2 linked regions of the Elephas maximus indicus genome follow. The protein of the gene in region 2 interacts with the protein of the main gene of each other region in a biochemical or structural test. Links are inferred from orthologs where the notes say so. Each region holds a gene or a part of one and is shown on either strand. Other genes may lie near its edges.

Region 1 (10,547 bases), on a different chromosome or scaffold from region 2:
CTAATCTTTCCTTTGTATCTTTAGTTCTTCATTTTTCCTTGCTCCCGAAGGGGTGAGAGTTTTCTTCATTTTTCCTTGCTCCCGAAGGGTTGAGACCAGTGGAGTATCCTAGAGGGTCGCTCATAGGCTTTTAAGATCCCAGACGCTACTCACCAAAGTAGAACGTAGAACATTTTCTTTATAAACTGTGTTATGCCAGTTGAGCTAGATGTTCCGCAAGACCATGGTTCCCATAGCCCTTAGCCCAGAAATTTAGTCCCTCAGGGAGTTTGGATATGTCCATGGAGCTTCCATGACCTTGCCTTGCACAAGTTGTCAGACTTACATATTTTTTTAAAACTTACATAAAAAATAAGTCTTACTACATTCTTCACATGATTAAATGACTCTTCCACAAATTCTTTTACATACCTGTGAAATCTCAACATTGCCAATTTTGAACACTTCATCAACCAGAGTGGCAGAAAGCAGCTGGGATATGGTACAGGGTACAATGTGCTGGGCTCGGGCTCTCTAAAAAGAAAAAGTATGCATAAATTCAATTAAGAAAAGAATAACTACCACTCATTTAACACCTGCTATGGTATTAAGGGAGCCTTGACGGCACAGTGGTTAAGAGCTAACCAAAACACTGGCAGTTTATATCCACCAGCCGCTCCTTAGAAACCCCATGGGGCAGTTCTACTCTGTCCTATAGGGTCCCTACGAGTCAGAACTGACTTGATGACAAGTTTTTTAGCTTTATGGTGTTAAGGAAGGAGCTCTGGTGGCACAGTGGTTAAAGCACTTGGCTACTGAGAAGTTGACAGCTGGAACCCGCCAGCCACTCCACGGGAGAAATATGTGGCAGTCTGCTTCCCTAAAGATTTACAGCCTTGGAAACTCTGTGGACAGTTCTAGTCTGTCCTTTAGGGTCGCTATGAGTCAGAATTGACTTGAAGGCAGTGGGTTTGGTTTTGGTGGGTTATAGTCGGAATTGACTCGATGGCACTAGGTGGGTTTAGTGTTAAGGAGCCCTGGTGGTACAACGGTTAAGCACTCAGCTAACCAAAAGGTCAGGGGTTTGAACCCACCAGCCGCTCTGCAGAAGATGGGGCAGTCTGGTTCCGTAAAGATTTACAGCTTTAGAAACCTTTTAAGGCAGTTCTACTCTGTCCTATACGGTCACCGTGAGTCAGAATCAAATCAATGGCAACAGGTACATGCCAAGCACTTTACATGTATATAACATCAAAGCTTCAAAACGAAGCTCATTAACCCTGCTCTACAGAGATGGAAACCAAGGTCATATAGCTAATAAATACCAGAATAAGAATTCATATTAAGTTTGTCTGAATCTCAAGCTCCTCGTGAATGGGTAAGTTCATGTTGCACTGGGAATTCACCACAATGAGGCAGCCAGAGTGCGACAGCATATGAAAGCGTAACGTGCTGCCAGAGACAGCTCTAAGAGGAAACCCCAGCCTCAGGCTGGAGGCAGGCTAGAGTTGGTATTCAAGCCACCAACAAGATGAGATGTTATTGGGAAAAGGTCTGAAAATGCCCAGGAGAGGCAGCACTTTAGAGAGAATTGCTCCAGGCCTTGGATAAAATACAACAAAAAGTTAAAAAGTATAGCTTCCTTTAGGGAAGATGTTGTGACAGTCACCACACTGGACATCTTAAAGGGAAGAAACAGAATGAGGATGGCAGAAGCATGTTCAGTGAGGACACTCAAATCACACCCTACCACAGCCTGGCAATACTGTAAACTCTTATTTCTGCCTACCAAGGTAAACCGAATAATATAAAGATGGGGTAGAATTTGCCCTTGAGTAACTCCTAATTTAGGGAAGATACAAATGTAAACAACAAACCTGATCTTGATATACTACAGAATTACACATGCTATGCCATCTCAGAAAAACTCACTAATTCTGCCTAGGGAATTTCAAAAAGTCTCTCCAGCATTTGAGCTGGACTTTGATGCATGAGAATTTTGATAGTGGAAAAACAGTGGGTAAAGGACGGGCATTCTAGTCTAAGGGCTCACAGAGGGACTATGTATGAGGCAGAAAAGCCACGGAAGATTAAACATTAGAATCCTTCCTTTCCAAAATCAATAAAAAGTAACTTAATAACTGTAAGACAGAACATAATAGACTTCATGGATTTAGCAGTCCCAGCTTTGACTTAAAGATTCATGCTGCTGGCAATGTTTCACTTTGCTGAAGCATAATTTTGAACGATGAGTACCCGGAATTGGTATGAAGTAAGCCTAGCTAACCGCTATGTCACGAAGGAAGGAGACTAAGCTTGGGGGTTAAGGTTACAACCCGAATGCAGTCAACAACAACCACTCAAGAGTAGTGTGCTCTTGGACATGTTTCTTAACTCATATGCACATTAGTTTCCTCAGCTGTTCAACTGGGAATGATAAAGTCAGGAAAATTAAATGCAATAATATGGTAATATACTTAGAATATTGCCTGGAACATCATAAGCACTCAGCATTAGCAGTTTTATTAACTATTGCTCCTCACTGCTCATACCTGCAATAACCTTCAAAAGGATGTGAAGGAATCTAGTATGTTTTCCCATTTTACTTTATTGTATCCACAGGTGAAGTTATGATACATCAGTATTCACAAACGTAGAATCTACACAGGCCCCAGGATTTTTCTCTCACAAATAATGTACTATATTTTCTGTTTTCACCTATCACAGCTGAGATTCTCATCACGTCTTCAGTATTAAGAAAACTAAGAGCCAGTATGGTAACGGTGGCAAAAACATGGATTCAGAGCCAGACGGTCCTGCAGACCTTATAAAAATGGTGGTTTCATATCGTACTGTCAGAGTTGCCTGTGGTTCATTGTCAACTATGAAAAAATACTTGACAGCAACTGATATACATTATATATTTCAACAACTTGAAGAATAGATATTTTACAGAAGAGGTGGTAACGTGTCCAGGGCTTAGCAGCTAGGATTTGAACATAGGTCTGCAGGACTGTTTGGCTCTGAATCCACGTTTTTGCCATACTGGCTCTTAGTTTGGTTCAACCAAATATAACAGGTTCATACTCAACAGGGGATATTTCAGACAGGCACATTTATCTAATTTACTGTAGAAAAAGCACTAGATTCAAAAACATGACCTCTGGGTTTGAGTCCCCAACTTGTGACTAAGCTATCTTAATACACAGTCTGAGCTAGGGATTCTGAGATAAATAAAAGGACGAGAACCAGTATCTATCCACCTGTTTTCTCCTTCACAACCCCAAGGAAGACAAAGCTAGAAGACTGGAATCTCCTCTGGTCTTCCTGGGAAAAAGAAAATTACAATTAGAGAAAAGGCTGCCCACCAGATTTGGATTTGCACAGCATCATGTGTGCACTGTCCTGGTTTTAGCTATTTACTAGCTTTGTAACCTTGGGTAGTTCCTTCACCTCCCTGAGCCTCTGCCGTACGATGGAGTAAACAAAAAGGATTATATGAAATAGTACATATAAAAATATAAACAAAAAATACCGAAACCCGTTGCCATAGTTGATTTTGACTCATATCGACCCTACAGGAAAGAGAACTACTCCATAGGGTTTCCAAAGAGCGGCTGGTGGATTCGAATTGCCCTTTGGCTAGCAGCCCTAGCTCTTAACCACTGCACCAACAGGGCTCCTATGTAATATAACATATCAAGTCCCAACCTTGTGAGGCATATATTATCAACCCCATTTAATAAGTCCAAAACTGACTCCCAAGTAAAGTGTCAGAGCAAGAAAACACAGGTCTATTTGACTTCAAAACCCATGTTCTTCCCCCCACCCCTATTCCGTGTTTCACCTCCTGGCTACGTGAATACATGAAGAGTGCAAAATATGCATTAAACACAAGTTCAGAGTTTTCCCACGGATTCATGGCTATTTCGATAAATTTCAAAACAAAGCCAAGGAAACAATGGATGCAAAATTAGGGAAGATTTCATTTTTAAAACTTACAGCACCTAATTACAGAAAACATGAGCAATAACCGGTAATTACCGAACCAGTTCATATTTAATACCCTTCATATGCCGCATAAATTTTCTCTCATAGACGAGTTACGAGCTTTAGAACAGGATAGAATAAAACGAAACACCCTTTGAACCTACTGATTTCTTTTCAGCTTGAGTAGGTGTGGGCGACCCAAAGCCCCCCGGGGACTGTGTGTAGCCGCCGGCGCCACCATAGGCGGAGCTGCCATAGTTTTCAAATCCACCTGTTTCAAACAACACTATCAGTATCTGCGCCGCTTTCCAGGCCTCTGAAAATTCCACAAGTCCTTACAAACCTCACCCCTCTCAAACACTCCCACCGTCTCCCGAATGTTCCTCAGCACCTTTCCCCGCCCCGCGAACTCCCCCGCCCGCCTCTCCGGTTCCTGCCCCTTCCCCCTCCCCATGTCTCTCCGTCCCCAGGCTCTCCGTCCCGCTAAATCCTCCTCGCGATTCTCAGTCTCCTCCGCCCCACCCATATTTACTATTCCACATTTTGGTAGTGACTCCGTCAGGATCCAATCTAGTGAGTCGGCGGGGCACCTCAGGGCCCTACAGTTGTCGCAGCAGCGTATCTACTTTTCGCTGGCGCCACAAACTCCTTCCCGCGAACGACGGAGCCAATCAGCGTCCAGGACGCTTCTACCTTCAGCCAATCAAAGCTCGCGAATCCTACGCTTCTTCCTGTCTTCTCTGGCCCTGTGTCTGAAAACTCGCTCTCTGCTCCCTGAGGGGCCGGAAGCTGCGAGACCGGCCTAGCAGACGGAAGCGGAAAGCCGGAAGAGGGCCCAAGAAAACAACCAATCAAAATAATAGTTCTAAATTCTAGGCCGCATAACCGCACCCCTGCCAAATGAGTGACATTTACGTCACTTCCTTTGCTGGGCGCCTTCCTGTTCCCGCCAAACTGTCACCATTTTGACGCCCTAACCTAAAGCGCTGTGGTGAAATTCTTGCTTCTGCGCTCATAACCCGCGTATTTGCACACCCCAGGGACTCACAGTAGTAGCCTTGTAGCACCTCGTGGGATTGTTTGTTCTTCTCCAGAAGGAGCCAAGTTCTGTCCCTGTTTAGCGACTCTGTTTTTGTGATTCTTCCTAGCGAGGCCATAAGACACTTACATCCTCTTCCCCATGATGCCCTTTCCCCAACTCAGTGTAAATCCAGGCCCGACATCCATCTCAAAAGACAGCCATTTTATATTCCAGTATTCTTCAAATAATATGATTGTGCCCTTCCTATAGACAGTGGACAATGTCTGGTTTGCTCTAAGCACTACTAGATTATTAGATTTTTTTTTTCCATTTATTTACTTGAAAATATTTGATGCCTCCTGTTCCAGGCTCTGTGCTGGACACTGGGATTTAACAGTAAATATACTAGACATGGTCCCTGGGCATTTATAAAATTGCAGGCACTGTCTTAAGCATTTTACGTTTATTAACTCAACCCTATAAGGTTTTTCTTTTTTTTATAAGGTAGGTAGTGTTATTGTCTCCTCATTTAGGAGATAAAATTGAAGCCGTTATTTCCTGTCCTTGAGCATAAAGAATTCAACCTAGCTGGAGCTGGACTCCTAAGGACACATCAACTGGGCCCTGAGGTATAAAAACAATAGCTAGGACAATCTTGGAAAACGTCTTTTAGGGAAACTCTCACATACACGCAGCACTAAAGACCCACACATGTTCCACTCTTATGTCTTTTTATTAGGGTTTAGTAAATAGTAGGAGTTGTTGGACCAATGAAGACTCTTCTGACTGTCATCACTGAAACCCCTACCAATGATTATTAAGAAAAACAATTTAAAACGTAGAATCATGATAATTTAGCAGTTTTTAGCCAGTATGTGAAAAGATGAAGCTTTCAGCGATTTTATCCATTCATAATGTTAATATATACTGATGATTCTGTAATATTCCTTGGACTTGGGCAGACATGGCTCTGGCAGCATGCATGCCCATTTTCCACTTTTGTGCCTTCAAAAATATGCTGAATAAAACCTTTCTTTTTGCTTTACTATCACTTTCTGGTAATTTTACCCTAGGACACCCCCATTTTACAGAAGAGAAAACTGAGTCTGCATCCAAAGCCAGCAAGTCTGATTCCATCAACCAGTGCAATTACTATACCTCCTAGAACATCTCAGAACTGGGTCACACGCTTAAATGACCACTGGGGACAGTCAGTAAAACCGTAAATGTAATGGACTGGATAACAGAGGAACTAAATTTTCACTTTTTTTCACCAGAGTAAGACGAATAACCACCTAAGCATAATGATAAATCGTTACTGATATATAAAGAGTATGAGCCCAGTGTTGCCAGCTTTTTAGTAGAAGCCAGATATCTGGATTTTTATGTGAAAATTTTTGAACCGTAAGCTTTTGCAAATTAATCATTTAAAAAAGACTGTTACCCAGGGCCCCTATCTCAGTTGAACCCAACCAGATCCGTGACGCCCAATAAGACTATTTGAAGCAGCCTGGAGTCACACAAGCAAATTAATTTTGCCGGCAGCTAGCAAAAGGAAACAGTATGGGCTAGAACCTTCGGAGAGACTGTCTCCCCGATTTGCCTAAGAGCCAACTATTTAAGGGTTTAGACAAGGAGGGGTATTGATGTTTATTCATGAGGTTTTCGGGGGAAAGGGCGGAGATTTCTGAGGAAGGGTTGGGTTAGGTAAATGCAGGTGCACATGTGGCACTTCTTCAAGATGGAAGTCCTTTGGTTCCCCTTGACATGACTCATTATGGGATGTGATACAGGCGCACTGGTTTTCTTTGTCACATCGCCCGCTTCTGCGGGCTCGGGAAGGCCAAACAGTGGTCACTCTTAACTTCTTTTGCATGTGCTCTGCACCTGTGGAGACCTGCAAGCTCTACATCAACAATTTATTTGCAACATCCTAGAACATTTCAGTTCGTGTCACCCCGCAGCTGAAACATTCTGCCCCACAGGGCCTGTGCGTTCCGTTCTAATCTCCAGGCGGTGGGTTATGGTTGCACCAGTGCCAGTAGGTCAGGTTGTTTATTCTACTGTCTGTCCTGTTCGACCTTTTCCCAGTCTATGTGCTGGGGGCCCAACCAGTCTGCTTCAGCCTAATTCTGTCTCAAGACCGTGTGGGCCAAACAAAAGATACTTGGGAGCCAGATGTTGCTTGTGTGTCATCTCTTTCTTATATAAATTCTGTAAGCTTCCAAACCATCACTGAGAATTAAACAAGATATAGCCAAAGACAGAAGTCTGAGGCAGAAACGAGATGACATTATTATATTAATCCTAAAGTGATTAGAACATACATAGTATGACAAGTAAAAGCATATTTATGGGAATATTAGGATAAAATGTTATGAATTAAGACTATTCTGGGAAATTTAAGATGTTAGGTTAATCTACCTCATTTCGGGTTCAACTAGTTATAAATTCAGCTGAGGAGAGTATACGCTTAAAAATAAAATCCAAAGTGAAGCCAGAATGTCTTAACTTAGAGCATAATAACCATCAAAATATGATTTCACATCTTTTCAACACCTCCATGAGCAGGTAAGTTGAATAGAGGGTTCAGGTCTGAATCAGCATTAAAATAGTGTTTCCCTTTTTTTGGTGTGTGTGTAGTAATTTCATCTCTCAAGGTTTGGTTTTAATTGGGAGTCTTCCTGTCACATAGAAGGGATTTCTTTAATTACCCTCTTCCAGGTAGGGGCATAGTTCATTATTCCCAGACTTGGGACTGCTAGGGAAATTGCAGCAAGAGTAAGTAGAAGAGAAATTATCTTTTAAAACAATCTGGTGTTTATTGAGTACATACCACGTGCCAGGTACATCCATTATATCTGTGCTAGGTGCTCAATATGCATTCTCTCTGAATGTTTTTGATCTACAGTTATAATCCCCGAGGTCATTTTGCCTCCGCTTTATGAATACAAATATTTTCATCAGAATTGTTCTGACATTGATGGATTTTTCATTGAGACTTAATTCTCTGTTCAGTTTTCTATACAGTTCAATTTAGTGATTTCTAATTTTTTTTCCACTTTTCTTTTTTTACAATTATTTGTATGTGGATCAATTCTTTGCTGGGCGAATTTTACAATGAGGGTTTAATTCATCGTTTAAATTTGATCCATGCCCAATTTTACACATCTGGTACTGTAGTTTTATGGGTGCGCATTATCTATCAAGTACAATTTGATTCAGGGTGACTTTTTGCAGTTTCCAACATTATACATAAGATGTGATTTTTTCCTTTCTTTTTTTGGGTGGGGGGGGGCTAAGACAAATGTTACTGGGTGGAGTTTTTGTCATTTTCTGTTTTATATGGTCCTGATTATTTCTACCAGTAATGGTCATTATGAATTGGCTAATACTGATAGAATTCTCTATTACTGATGGAGAGGCTCTTATATGTACAGAAGAACATCCACAACTATTTGTTTAATGTTCAATTTATTGAATTCTTTTAGCCAATAAAACCTGAAACCAACCTTTTGAGTATGTGAACATTGTTTACAGACTCAACTAAATATCCTTAAAATTTTAAACTGCAGTTAAAGTTTTAGTATGACTGATTCTTATGAACATATCAAATATCTGTAAGAGCAGACAACACATACCAAAACAATCGTTTATTGTGAAGCTAATGAAGCTTACGTTTCAGAGTCCTTTGCTTGATGGCCCCTCCCAAGGCCCCTTCTTTTCTCTAGATAAAGGACCACACAAATTATATCAGCTTCAGGCCCCACAAAAATTGGATCCTCTTGTCCCATGCTTCCTAGAATCATTGCTTTACTTATTTTGTTTTCCTCCTACAGTTTATGTAATATTTTGATTCCTTCCTGGGCTTTCAGAAATCTGACCAAAACCAAAGGAAAAGGAAATGCCATCTTCACCCAGGTGAGGTTACTGTATCTGGGTCTTTAATCAATTGATTTTTGGTCATAACTCAAGACCTACTCCTATGTCTCAAAGGGTTTCTCACCCAGGCAACAAATTACCAGGCTGAGCTTCATTTTTGTTATGTCCGTACAGGTAAACAAACAGGTTTATATGAAATAGTATATATAAAAAATATAAACCAAAAAAAAACCAAACCTGTTGTCGATTCTGAAGCCGTCAACTCATAGGTTCTTGCCAAGCAGACTAGCGAATTGAAGTCAGCCAGACACAGGGTTGGAAAAACAGAAAGGTTTATTCACAGTTTGCAACCTGGGAGGCAAGCAGGGTCTCCTGACCTAAGGCTGCCAGCTCCCTGAACCAGGGCAGATTTGCTCACTTTATAGGGAGTGACATACATATGTATGAACAGTGAGGGGAAGATCTTCAGTCTTGTGATGCCTGCTCAGTCCGCATAATTTTAGTGAATGAATTTCTGTGCACAGCTCTAAAAATATTGTGCACAGCCCTAAAAAAAATGTTAACAGCTCACTACTGCCACCCCAGGAAGGTCATATAGCAGGTAGATTTGCAGTCAGTGCCCTGTCCCCTCCGCCTGCTGCCAGGAGAGGAGAAGAAACACAGGGATTTGACCAATCATAGTGAAGTGCTTTAAATGTTGTAACAAAAGTGTAGCAAGAGTAGGCTTTACTGAAAAACAACTATTATGGGATGGTTAATAACCCTTTCAAGACTGCCTGCTTCAATTCCAACTAATAGCAACCCTATAGGACAAAGTAGAACTTCTCCACAGGGTTTCCAAGCAGCGGCTGCCGATTTGAACTGCCGGCCTTTTTGGTTAGCAGCCGAGCTCTTAACCACTGTGCCACCAGGGCTCAGGCTTTAGGTTTTTTTGCAACCTGGTGTCTCTCTTCTAAGTGATGTGTTTTCAGCATTATAGAGCCCATTGTTTTGCCTGATATATTAATGGGGCCTTTTGCAATTTTGAAAATTCATATATTTTTATTAATACAATATTTTACTATAGTCATAGGTCCACCTGGAGGCATTACTTCCAAAAAGAGTCTGCAGAATTAACCCAGTTAACTTGGTAGTTCTTGAAACATTCTGTTGTTATTAGCCTTCTACTTGGTTATTGGGTGTGATCAGCCTACACCAGACTGAGCCTAGCACAGCTAGATGGTACCCGGCTACTACCACTGACTGCTCTGACAGGGATCACAATAGAGGATCCCCGTCAGAGCTGGAGAAAAATGTAGAACAAAATTCTAACTCACAAAAAAAGACCAGACTTACTGGCCTGGCAGAGACTGTAGAAACCCCAACAGTATGGCCCCTGGACACCCTTATTAGCTCAGTAATGATGTCACTCCTGAGGTTTACCCTTCAGCCAAAAACTAGAGAGGCCCATAAAACAAAATGAGACTAAAGGCACACAAGCCCAGGGGCAAGAACTACAAGGCAGGAGACAGGAAAGCTGGTAATAGAGAACCCAAGGTAGAGAAGGGGAAAGTATTGACATGCCTTGGGCTTGGTAACCAATGTCACAAAACAGTATGTGTACTAATTGTTTAATGAGAAGCTAATTTGTTCTGTAAACCTTCATCTAAAGTACAATAAAAATAAATTTTAAAAA
Region 2 (10,494 bases):
ATCTCTTCCAAGATACATCATAATTAACTTGAGACACAAAAGATGATTAGAAGACAGCCCAGCAAAGAATAAGGAAAACAGCACGTAAGCATTTAACAGTAACAGTCTGAACCATCTTAAAAGTACCCTCATATGTAGTAACTTGTCATTTTGCTGACGCAAAAGCTTAAGTTGCTCATGCTTTGGAACTGATACGTAGGAAGCTACCAGAGCTAGTAAGTCTTGCCTGGCACTCAACATCTCAACTGGCTTCATGGTTCTCATTTAATAAATAAAAGAAGGAGGAAATGATATTCCTGTTTTGAAATGAAATGAAGGAAATCATGTTATAGTGGTATTCCTTGTAAATATCAAAGGTCAACTATATTTCACTCTGCCTCGATTCCATTGTAGTAGCTTCTCTCATTTTGAGTTCTCTAATATAATCAAAACGGGAAACCCTGGTGGTGCAGTGGTTAAGTGCTATGGTTGCTAACCCAAAGGTTGGCAGTTCAAATCCACCAGGTGCTCCTTGGAAACTCTATGGAGCAGCTCTACTCTGTCCTATAGGGTCGCTATGAGTCGGAATAGACTCGACAGCAGTGGGTTTTGGTTTTAATATAATCAAACCCTCTCTGGATAAATTTTAATAAAAAATTATTGTAAAAAACAGCATTCAATTGTTTCTGATATATATCATTTCTGTCAGCCTACAAACGTTCATTATAATCATAAAAATATGTACATCTGTATGTACGTTACATCTAAATGTACACTTATCTCAAAAGGAAAACAGGCAGGAAAACGTCCTTCTATCCATTCTTCCAAATTCTGTTCATTCTTTCAAGATCAGGTATGTTTCTCTAGCCCTGACTAATCTCACAGAATCTTAAAACTGGGAGTAACTGGGAGACAAAATTACTATCTTCTCTTTGAGCATTCTAATAAGTGCAAACTACCTAACAAGACCACCCATTTCAGTGGCAGGTAGCTCTAATTCTTTTCTCCATTTGCATTAATTGATATTTCTTCTGACCCTTATCTCTATTAAAACATCCAGTTGACTGTTGTAGTTTACAGATTATTTACAAGATTTTCATTTTCATTTGATTGTAACTTCATAAGGACACAGACTGTCATTTTCATTTTTCCATTTTTTACGACTTATCTGGAAATCCTTCCCCTTCCATCTTAAAGACTTCCTAACTCAATCAATAAGGAAAATGAAATTGGGACACATTAGCAATATGAAAACACATTAGTAATACACTTTTATTCCTAAACACACTAAAGATGTTCTTTCTGATATGAAAAGACGCATGTTTACTGAACCTGTGATACTTCCAAGAAGAAGTAGCCTTAAACTTGACTTTTTTTTTCAAGCTGTGGCTTTTCTAAATTTGTTTTTTCTCTCCTCAGTTTCTCAAAGATTAATTACTTGGAAGAAAACAAGACAGTTTAATATCAGCATTTACACAAACAGGAGATGTTCATTCACTGATAATATGCAAACACTACTGCTGGGCACCTGCTGCTTCCAGGTACAATTTAGGGATAGCTAGACATATAATGGAGCACTGGTGGCACAGTGGTTAACAGCTCGGCTGCTATTCAAAAGGTTGGCAATTCAAATCCACCAGGGAGCCCTTGGAAACCCTATGAGGAGGTTCTACTGTTCTATATAGTCACTACGAGTCAGTGTTACGGACTGAACTGTGTCCTCCCCAAAATTATGTGTGTCAATTTGGCTAGGCCATAATTCCCAGTATTGTGTGATTGTCTACCATTTTGTCATCTGATGTGATTTTCCTATGTGTTGTAAATTCTACCTCTATGATGTTAATGAGGAAGGGTTAGAGGCAGTTATGTTAATGAGGCAGGACCCAGTCTATAGATTAGGTTGTATCTTAAATCCATCTCTTGAGATATAAAAGAGAGAATCAAGTAGAGAGACTGGGATCTCATACCACAAAGAAATGAGACCCAGGGTCCTTGTGCTGAGAAGTTTCTCAACGGATGGAGATTGATGACAAGGACCTTGCCCCAGAGCCGACAGAGAGAGAAAGCCTTCCCCTGGAGCTGCCACCCTGAATTCGGACTTCTGGCCTAGTAGACTGTGAGAGAATAAATTTCTCTTTGTTAAAACCATCCACTTGTGGTATTTTTGTTATAGCAGCACTGGACGACTGAGACAGAATTGACTCAGTGGCAGTGAGTCTGGTTTTGGTTTTTAGATGTATAATGGACTAAAGAGACAAAAATCTTACCTTCATAGAGTTCATCATCTAGTAAGAGAGAATGCCAATAAACAAACTGATAAATCAATGCATAATTACAAATTATGATATATGCCTCAAAGGAAACAAAAGTACTTTGATGGAAAATGGAAAGAGGATGATTTCGGATAAACTGTCAGGGGACATCTCTCAGCTGTGGCTATAATAAACTCTAAATCAAAACGAAATGATGTCAATTATAGGAAAAGCTAGAAGACCAAAGTTTCAGGGAGGAAGGCTACCATAACCAAAGGGTCCTAAGATGGAAAAGAGTTTGTATGCTGGAAGAAATGAAAGGACAGAGGGATTAGTGAGTTATAAAAGAGTATCACCAGATGAAGTTGAACTCCATTCATACATTAATCCAGAGCTATCTAGGTTCCCAACATTCAACTGACACTATACATACGCACATATATATACAAACACACATATATATACAACAGCCTGTGAATGAGCAAATCCAACATTCCATTTTAGATCTCAACCTGATCCCTTTGCAGAATGATGATGTCTACCCTCTACCTTCCTGAAAATAACTCTGCCCTTGGCATGCCATCCTTTTCCTGTGGTTAGAAGTGTGGGTCCTGCAGTCAGACTGTATTTGTTGGAATCCTGGAAAAATTACATTCAAAGCCCTGGAATGGAAGACTGGGAAAAGGGCAGTGAGCCCTTTCAGGGGCCTAATGTGTGAGACTGGATTATTGGCAGGACTGAGGAGAGCAACACACATTCAAAGCAGTCCAGTCAGCAGAAATCTTTAAGCTATGCATGCTGTTTCCCACTCCGCTGAAAATCTGACAGGCAAGACAACTGGTTGCTATGTAATGCATACACTGCCCTTGTTTTCTAAAAGGGAGATTAAGTTTCCAACAAGGTTTCTGCCTGTAATTTTTCCACTCAGGTTATCATTCTAGTTCAAACAAATTTTGAAAATTCACTTCCTGGGCCATGACTGAACCAGGAAGAACCAGTTCAAAGCCCTGTGTTTAACACAGTGCCTGGAAAAAAAGCAAATGCTCGATAAATGCTAGCAATCATCATTATTCCTTTCCTTTCTGACTGCTTCATCGTTAGTTCCTTTTGAAGAGTGGTTCTTCTTCCACCTACACATGAAAGAAAATCCTAGTCTCCATACTTCTCACACCATGTTCTCTTGGTGTGATGTCATCCGTTCCCATCACTTCAACATGTTGAAGACTCTGAAATCTATTTCATTCAACGCCAGACCTCCCTCTCTTGTGCTTCAGGAACCTTCAACACTTTTGTGCCTTCGCATGCACTTTTCCTGTCTGGAAGGCTCCTACTATTCTCCAGGGGCAATTCTGACACTGCAAGGTCTCACCACAAACTAATCTTCCTAGGCTGAGTTCCCACACAAACCTGACTCAACTTCTCCACCATCACAATAGTCTTCTATCACATTATCACCTTGAATTGTAATTGTCTTTTCACTTAACTGCACCTGGTAAAATCAGGATACCCATGGGTGCTCACCACAGGAAAGGATTATCTCATTTATTCTCAGATGGAAGACAGCACAGCGAGGTCACACAGCTGACAGATTCCAACTCACGCAAGAATGTGCACTGGCACCGAGCCTATGTTCTTTAACCACGAGGCTGTAATTTAGGCATCAATAAATGGCTGCCGATTGGAAGCAATAATTATGAAAGAAAAAAAGTATGAAAGAAAAAAAGTCAACTAGGCAAATCTGGGCAGTAAAAATAAAAGAGGCGCGCAAGAGGGTGACGGCTAAACCCGGTGGGGGGCGGGAAAGGAGTGCAGAGAATGTGCTGAAGCAGAGGGATTAAAGGGTTTTTACTGGCAGAGTGCGTGAGGCTCGGCATCTGGGGGCGAGGACAGGTGGATTCGGTAAGGCTGAACTCCCCATCGCACAACCCCAAAACCTGCTTCCGTGCTCCTACCGCTGGGCTCTGACGGTAACGGCACTGGTGGCCAGAGTCGTATCGCCTGAGTCGGCAGTGGCTACTGCTCAAATCCGCGATCCTCTCGCCTCCTCCTGCGGCTGCAGCTTCTCGAACCCGTTATCCACGCACCTATTCCCGCTTCCGGTTCAAACCTGGCGTGACTGCGCAGCGTCCGTCTGGCAAGGAAGAAGCCACGCCGAGCCGGCGCCTGCGCACATTCTGCCCATGCGCGCCGCACATCACACGCTTTCCTTCGCTCAAAACACTCGCACTCCCAAAACATTCGGCTCCACTGAGGACACGCGCCTGCGCTTTCCTTCCCACCAATGGGGAGAGACCTTTCAATTGACGCCCGGCCTCTAGCTCCGGCTCTTGCGCTTGCACTCCACCTCCTCGCTCTCATCTGCCCCACCCCTCAAAATATGAGGACGGAAATGACGTCCGGTCAAGGAGAACGGGGGCGGGTTTCATTTCGGCGCCTTTCTTTCTCCCGCGGAAGCGATTGGCTGGCGTGGAGCAAAAGAGGCGGGACAAATTGCCGCGGGTTCAGTACCGCCAGTGGAACCGGGAGATGCGGCGCAGGAGCAGTTGCTGTGTTTGCCCTTATCTTAGTTTAGTCTCTTATTGTGATTTTTTTCTGCGGCTTCTATCATGTTGTTACCTTCGGACGTAGCCCGGCTGGTTTTGGGTAAGCGCGGACGCAGGAGGGAGGGTATTGGACCAGCCTAAGTAGGACGGAAGGACGTTTGGGGCAAAAGGTTTTCCTTGGGCGGGGAAGCTTTGGGGTTTTGCCTCTCCGCCCACAAGTTCGTACGCGGTGATTCTCCTTCAGCCGAAGGCTTTGGTAGTTTAAGCTTGTTTGTGTGGATGCTCCTCTCCTCAGAGGCTGCGTGCGAGAGGAGAGCCAAAGAGAAGCACGGAGCGGAATACGTGGGGCCCGGGTTCGGAGGGAAAGTCAGGCCTGGACACTTAGTGGGAGCCCCTGAAAGACAGTTGCCTACGTGACGGGCGACTGACGGTGCGTCTTCAACCTTGATCGCACTTTCCCTTATCATAAGCTGAGGCCAAACCGGGAAAAATAGGACTTCCCCTTGCACCTAGCTTTGTAGAACGATCTTCCTGACGCCCTTCGCATAACTCGCCTTTAGAGCTACGAATTTGGGACCAGTGGGGGTGATCCTCCCTTCCTCCCCCCGCCCGGAGTAAGTCGTCCAGTGTAGAGGTTTGAAATGCCAGTTGCATATTTTACAACAGCAGCGATTCTTACTCCTTCGATTAGCCAAAAAATTTAGAGAGGAAATGCCTTCCAGTTGAACATTTTCTAGTTAGTTTTTTCTGCATTTGAGGAGAGATTAGTTCTCTAGGTCATTTGTCTGTCAGGGTGTACTGTCTCTGTGGGCAAACGGATTTTGTTGTTTGGCTTTGAAAGAATGAAGAAGATTCTACTGCTGGGAACGTGCGCCACGTAAAGCTCAAAACCTGGGCCAGTGATTTACAGACAGAATATGTGATATCCCTAAATGTAAACACTAAACATTTGTGCTGAAACTTTCCATAGTATCCACAGCCATAATTTTATTGTTAGGAAAACCCATTTGTCTTGTTCTATACTAAGCTCTGCCCCAAAAAAGGTGTTTATGCAGGTTTTTTTTTTAAATAATATTTTGTTGTATTTTTGTTGAAGGTTTACACAGCAGTTTCGGTTCCCATTCAACAATTTTTACACAAGTTGTTCAGTGACATTGGTTATGTTCTTCACAGTGTGTGGACATTCTCATTATTTCCATTCTGGTTGTTCCGTTTCAGGGTTCTTGATAAGCACATTTTGTAGGAAACACTGGGGGAAATGGATTCCACCATCCAAGTTTGGAGAAACTCATTTAATGATTTAAGTTTAAATTAATATTTTATTACTGTTTGGTTAATCTTTTGCTGACTTTATCAGAATTGAATTATCAACATAGTTAACCTACATCTTTATCTGTGGTAAAAAGCTGGTTATATTTATTAGGCTACATGTATGCCAACAAAAAGTCCTTTCATGATATACATTGACATTCTTTCTTTTTCCTCCATGCATGTTGTTTGCTTAAAAATTTTGAGTTTGGTAATGCCTTTGCATTTTCAGTGACCGTAGTCTTAATAATGAAACAGTTTCTCAACCTTGGTACTATTGACATTTTGGGTCAGAAAATTCTTTGTTATGGGGAGCTGTTCCATGTTTTATGGGATGTTTAGCAGTATCCCTGGCCTCTATCCACTGGATGCCGGTAGCCCCCCACAGTTCTGACATTGAAAAAATATTTCCAGACATTTGCCAATACGTCCAGAGTGATGGGCAGAATCACCCCCCCAGTGAGTACTGTAGTGGTCTTAAGAAAGCAATCTAATTATCCAGTTAGAATAATTCTCACCAGCTTGTGAGTATTCATTCTCCACAAACCAGCTGCTCTACTTGATTTCTTCCTTTTTTTTAATGGATGAAAACTCCAGGTGCATTCTTGTCTTATCCTAAAAATCTTTTTCGTCATCTGCATTCTATTTTTACTGTCAATCACTCCTAGCAATATGCCTCCCATTACTTCTCACTTGTATTTTTTTCTTAGCTTCCCATGTAGTCTTCCTTCTTGCATTCCATTTTATTTACTGTTATTACAATTTTCCTAACACATTCATGCTGTGCCTCCTGTTTTAAAAGTTAAAACTATTATGCAGTTATTAAAAAACTTCCAAGTGTTCCATAGTATAATACATACCAAAACAGCAAGTCTTCCCACACTTACTGCTCTTGCTTTTTTTCCCTTAACGTTGTATTTTGGAGCCCTTCCCATATCAACACATACAAGTCTATCATCCCAAAATTTTGTGGCTTAAAATATTAACAGTTTCAGTATTTGCTCAGAATTCTTGCTCCCATCAGTACCCTTTCTCCCTCTCATTATTGGCCCTTTTTCTTCATTATTTTTTTTTGCAAATCTTTCAGTGCCTAGCACATTCCAAATGCTGTGCCAGTTCTAAGAATAAAGAGAGATCTTTACTCTTAGAGTTTACATAATTTTCCACCCTTAAAAGCACACACACGCAGCAAAACCCTTTCCTGGCCCCTGCCTCACTTTTTTTTTTTAATCTAACTCTGTATGTCACCTTTTCATAGGTCAAACTTATTCAGAGAACGTTGAGCTTTACTTGCTTGCTCTACTTTATCTTTCATTCTTCAGCATACTGCTCTGACTGTGATGTCACTGCTCCACCTAAACAGTCCGTTGGTCAACCACAACCACATTCCAGCTGTTGCCTTCTGGAATTTCTTTAAATATTGTACAGGCCAGAGTACATCAAATCGTTGTTTATTGCCTTTGGGCCACCAGTTTGGTTTTTGTTGGTATATCATACAAGGTGGGCTGTGGAACTGATCATAATCTATCTCTTCTGTTTGATCACAGCTTCTCAACATCTACCACATGCTCCAAACTACTTATCATTTCTCCAAATATTTTTATTCTGTTCCTCTGCCCGCAGTACTTTTCTACTTGTCTTTCTGATACGCTTGTACTCAATGTTGAGGCCAAGCATGATCTCTGAACCCTTTTCCAATAGGTACAGGTAGTACTTTATCTTTAAATACTCCCATAGCATCATCCGTTACTTCTTTCGTACGTTTATCATGTTTTATTGCAGCTATGTGTTTACCTACCTATTTGTTTTGTTCAAGAACTTAATCTGCAACTTAAATCCAAAATTAAAAATTTATGTGCAGGTGGAGGTATTTTTATGGGTGAAGGGTCCAGAGCTTTCTTCAAATTCCTAAATAGGTTTGTTACTTTCTGTAGGAGCCACCTTCCCTCCTGTAACACAGAAGACAATCCAAGTATTTAATACAGGGGGAATTTAATGAGGGAATTGATTACAATTGTGATAGAATAGCTGCACCTCCAAAGAACAACTTAGGTTAACAGCAGCAGGAAGCCACTACCCTAAGCAGGAGGAAGAAGAGAGATAAGGCTGGGTTTACTGGAAGATAGAAGGTGGACCTGTCTTATAGCCATATAAGAGATACTGCTCCAGGCAGAGAGGGAATAGGAGAAAAAATCTTCTACCCTCCAGTCTCCCACCAGTACATCCTGTTGGTCAAACCCAGCCAGAGTCAGCTGCCATGGGACCATGGGAAATACTGCCTGCATGAGATCAGCCCTCCTGTCAGAGCAGGTGAAGAGCAAGGGAAGAATTGAGAATGGATTTGAGGGCAAAGAGATACAAGACAGGCACACCCCCAAAAGGTCAGCAACCGCTGGTCTTATTTACCTATCGCTAAGACATTTTTAGATATTTAGTAAATACTTACGAAAGTACCACTGTGATCATGGTATTCCCCTTTGCCTACTGAATAATATCTGTACTCATTATCCTGACATTTACAACTTTTCATGATCTGAATCCATTCTGTCTTTTCAGTTGTATCTCCAGCTGTTTCCTTAATATACTTTGTGTTATATCCAAACTGGACATGTTCCCCAAATGTGTTCTTCATATATGTTTTCTATCACTTCCTTTGCGATTTGCAGTCATACTTTAAGACTCACCCCTTGAAGTATAGACTAGTTTCCCCCAAGCCTGGTAGAAATTTCTCTGGCCCCTATACTCCCATGAAGCAAGTTATTACAATTTCTCTTAACATTTTTGCTTTATGCTATAGTTATTTGTTTGTATATGTTCTGTTACCTAGTAGATCATAACTTTTTTTATACACAGAGATTTTGTCTTTTTATTTGTGTATCTAGTAATATAAAGTGCTGTAAGTTAAGTTTTCCTAAGAATTTTTTCTTTTTAAGGTCATTGTCTTAATCATCCAGCACTGCCATAACAGAAATACCACAAGTGGATGGCTTTAACAAAGAGAAATTTATTCTCTCACAGTCTAGTAGGCTACAAGTACAAATTCAGGGCGTCGGCTCCAGGGGGAGGCTTTCTCTCACTGTCAGAGCAGGAGGAAGTTCATTGTCCTCAATCTTCCCCTGGTTGAGGAGCTTCTCAGACCCTGTGTCCAAAGGATGTGGTCTGCTCCTGGTGCTGCTATCTTGGTGGTTTGAGGTCCCCAACACTCTGCTTGCTTCTCTTTCCTTTTATCTCTTGAGAGATAAAAGGTGGTGCAGGCCACACCCCAGGGAATATCTTTTACATTGGATCAGGAATGCAGCCTGAACGAGGGTGTTACATCCCACCCTAATTCTCTTTAACCACAGACAGAGATTATGATTTATAATACATAGGAAAATCACAAAATGGAGGACAATCACACATGGCCTAACCAAGTCGACATATATTTTTGGGGGGACACAATTCAATCCATGACAGTCGTTACAAACCAAATCTGTTGCCCTCAAGTTGATTCCAACTCATAGTGACCCTATAGGACAGATTAGAACTGCCCTATAGGGTTTCCAAGGAGCAGCTGGTGAATTTGAACTGCCAACCTTTTGGTTAGCAGCTGAGCTCTTAACCACTGCCTCATCAGGGCTCCAGGGTCATTAAACCACTAATATTTCTGGCAATTAGTAGCATATGTAACGGTGATATTTTTGGGGAGGGGGCTTTACTAAGGAGCCCTGGTGGCACAGTGGTTAAAGCTCTCAGCTGCTGACAAAACAGTTAGTGGTTCAAAGCTTCCAGCTGCTCCATGGGATAAAAGCGTGGCAGTCTGCTTCTGTAAAGATTCACAGCTTTGGAAACCCTATGGGGCATTTCTACTCTGTCTAGTAGGGTCCCTGTGAGCCGGAATCGACTGGATGGCAGTAGGTGAATGGGCTTTACTATCGCTTGCTTTCATCAGGCTTTTCTTATCTTTTCCTCTGTGGAAACAAATAGGAAGAAGAGAAGCCAGGCTCTTGCATCCCACTTCCTAAAATCTGATTACTCTTGATGTACTGTATCCTATACAGTCACTATGAATTGGAATCACCTGGAAGGCAGCAGTTTGGTTTGGTTTTGATATAGTTAAGGAGCCCTGGTAGTGCCGTGGTTAAAGCGATCAACTGCCAACTGAAAGGTCAGCAGTTTGAAGCTACTAGCAGCTACACGGGAGAAAGACGTAGCCTGCTTCCATAGAGATTTACAGCCTTGGAAACCCTATGGGGTCACTATAGTTAGGATCTTATCTTTCATTCTTTTTTTCAGTTGTTTCCCCGTTACTCATTACTACCCCCACTGAAGGCAAGCTGAAGACAGTATGATTTTTATAAAAAGGAAATGTGGGCATGTTTTCTTATTTATTTGAACACCTCTGTCAGTATGTTTATACAAAAACTGTAGTA

Evidence for each region.
Region 1: of the proteins of ATM (region 2) and RPA2, one has a biochemical effect on the other in vitro, tested with the Homo sapiens proteins (3 studies listed by BioGRID). The link is inferred for Elephas maximus indicus from reciprocal best matches to the Homo sapiens genes ATM and RPA2.

The regions. Positions count from the first base shown.
Region 1 is NC_064821.1:68,318,371-68,328,917, forward strand, and holds the start of RPA2 (replication protein A 32 kDa subunit), read right to left. Parts: upstream 4,727-10,547; 5' UTR 4,512-4,726; coding exon 4,502-4,511; intron 4,241-4,501; coding exon 4,134-4,240; intron 514-4,133; coding exon 412-513; intron 1-411. UniProt on the Homo sapiens protein: As part of the heterotrimeric replication protein A complex (RPA/RP-A), binds and stabilizes single-stranded DNA intermediates that form during DNA replication or upon DNA stress.
Region 2 is NC_064825.1:11,424,411-11,434,904, forward strand, and holds the start of ATM (serine-protein kinase ATM), read right to left. Parts: upstream 4,544-10,494; 5' UTR 4,184-4,543; intron 1-4,183. Other genes in the region: protein NPAT, read left to right, coding at 4,838-4,874.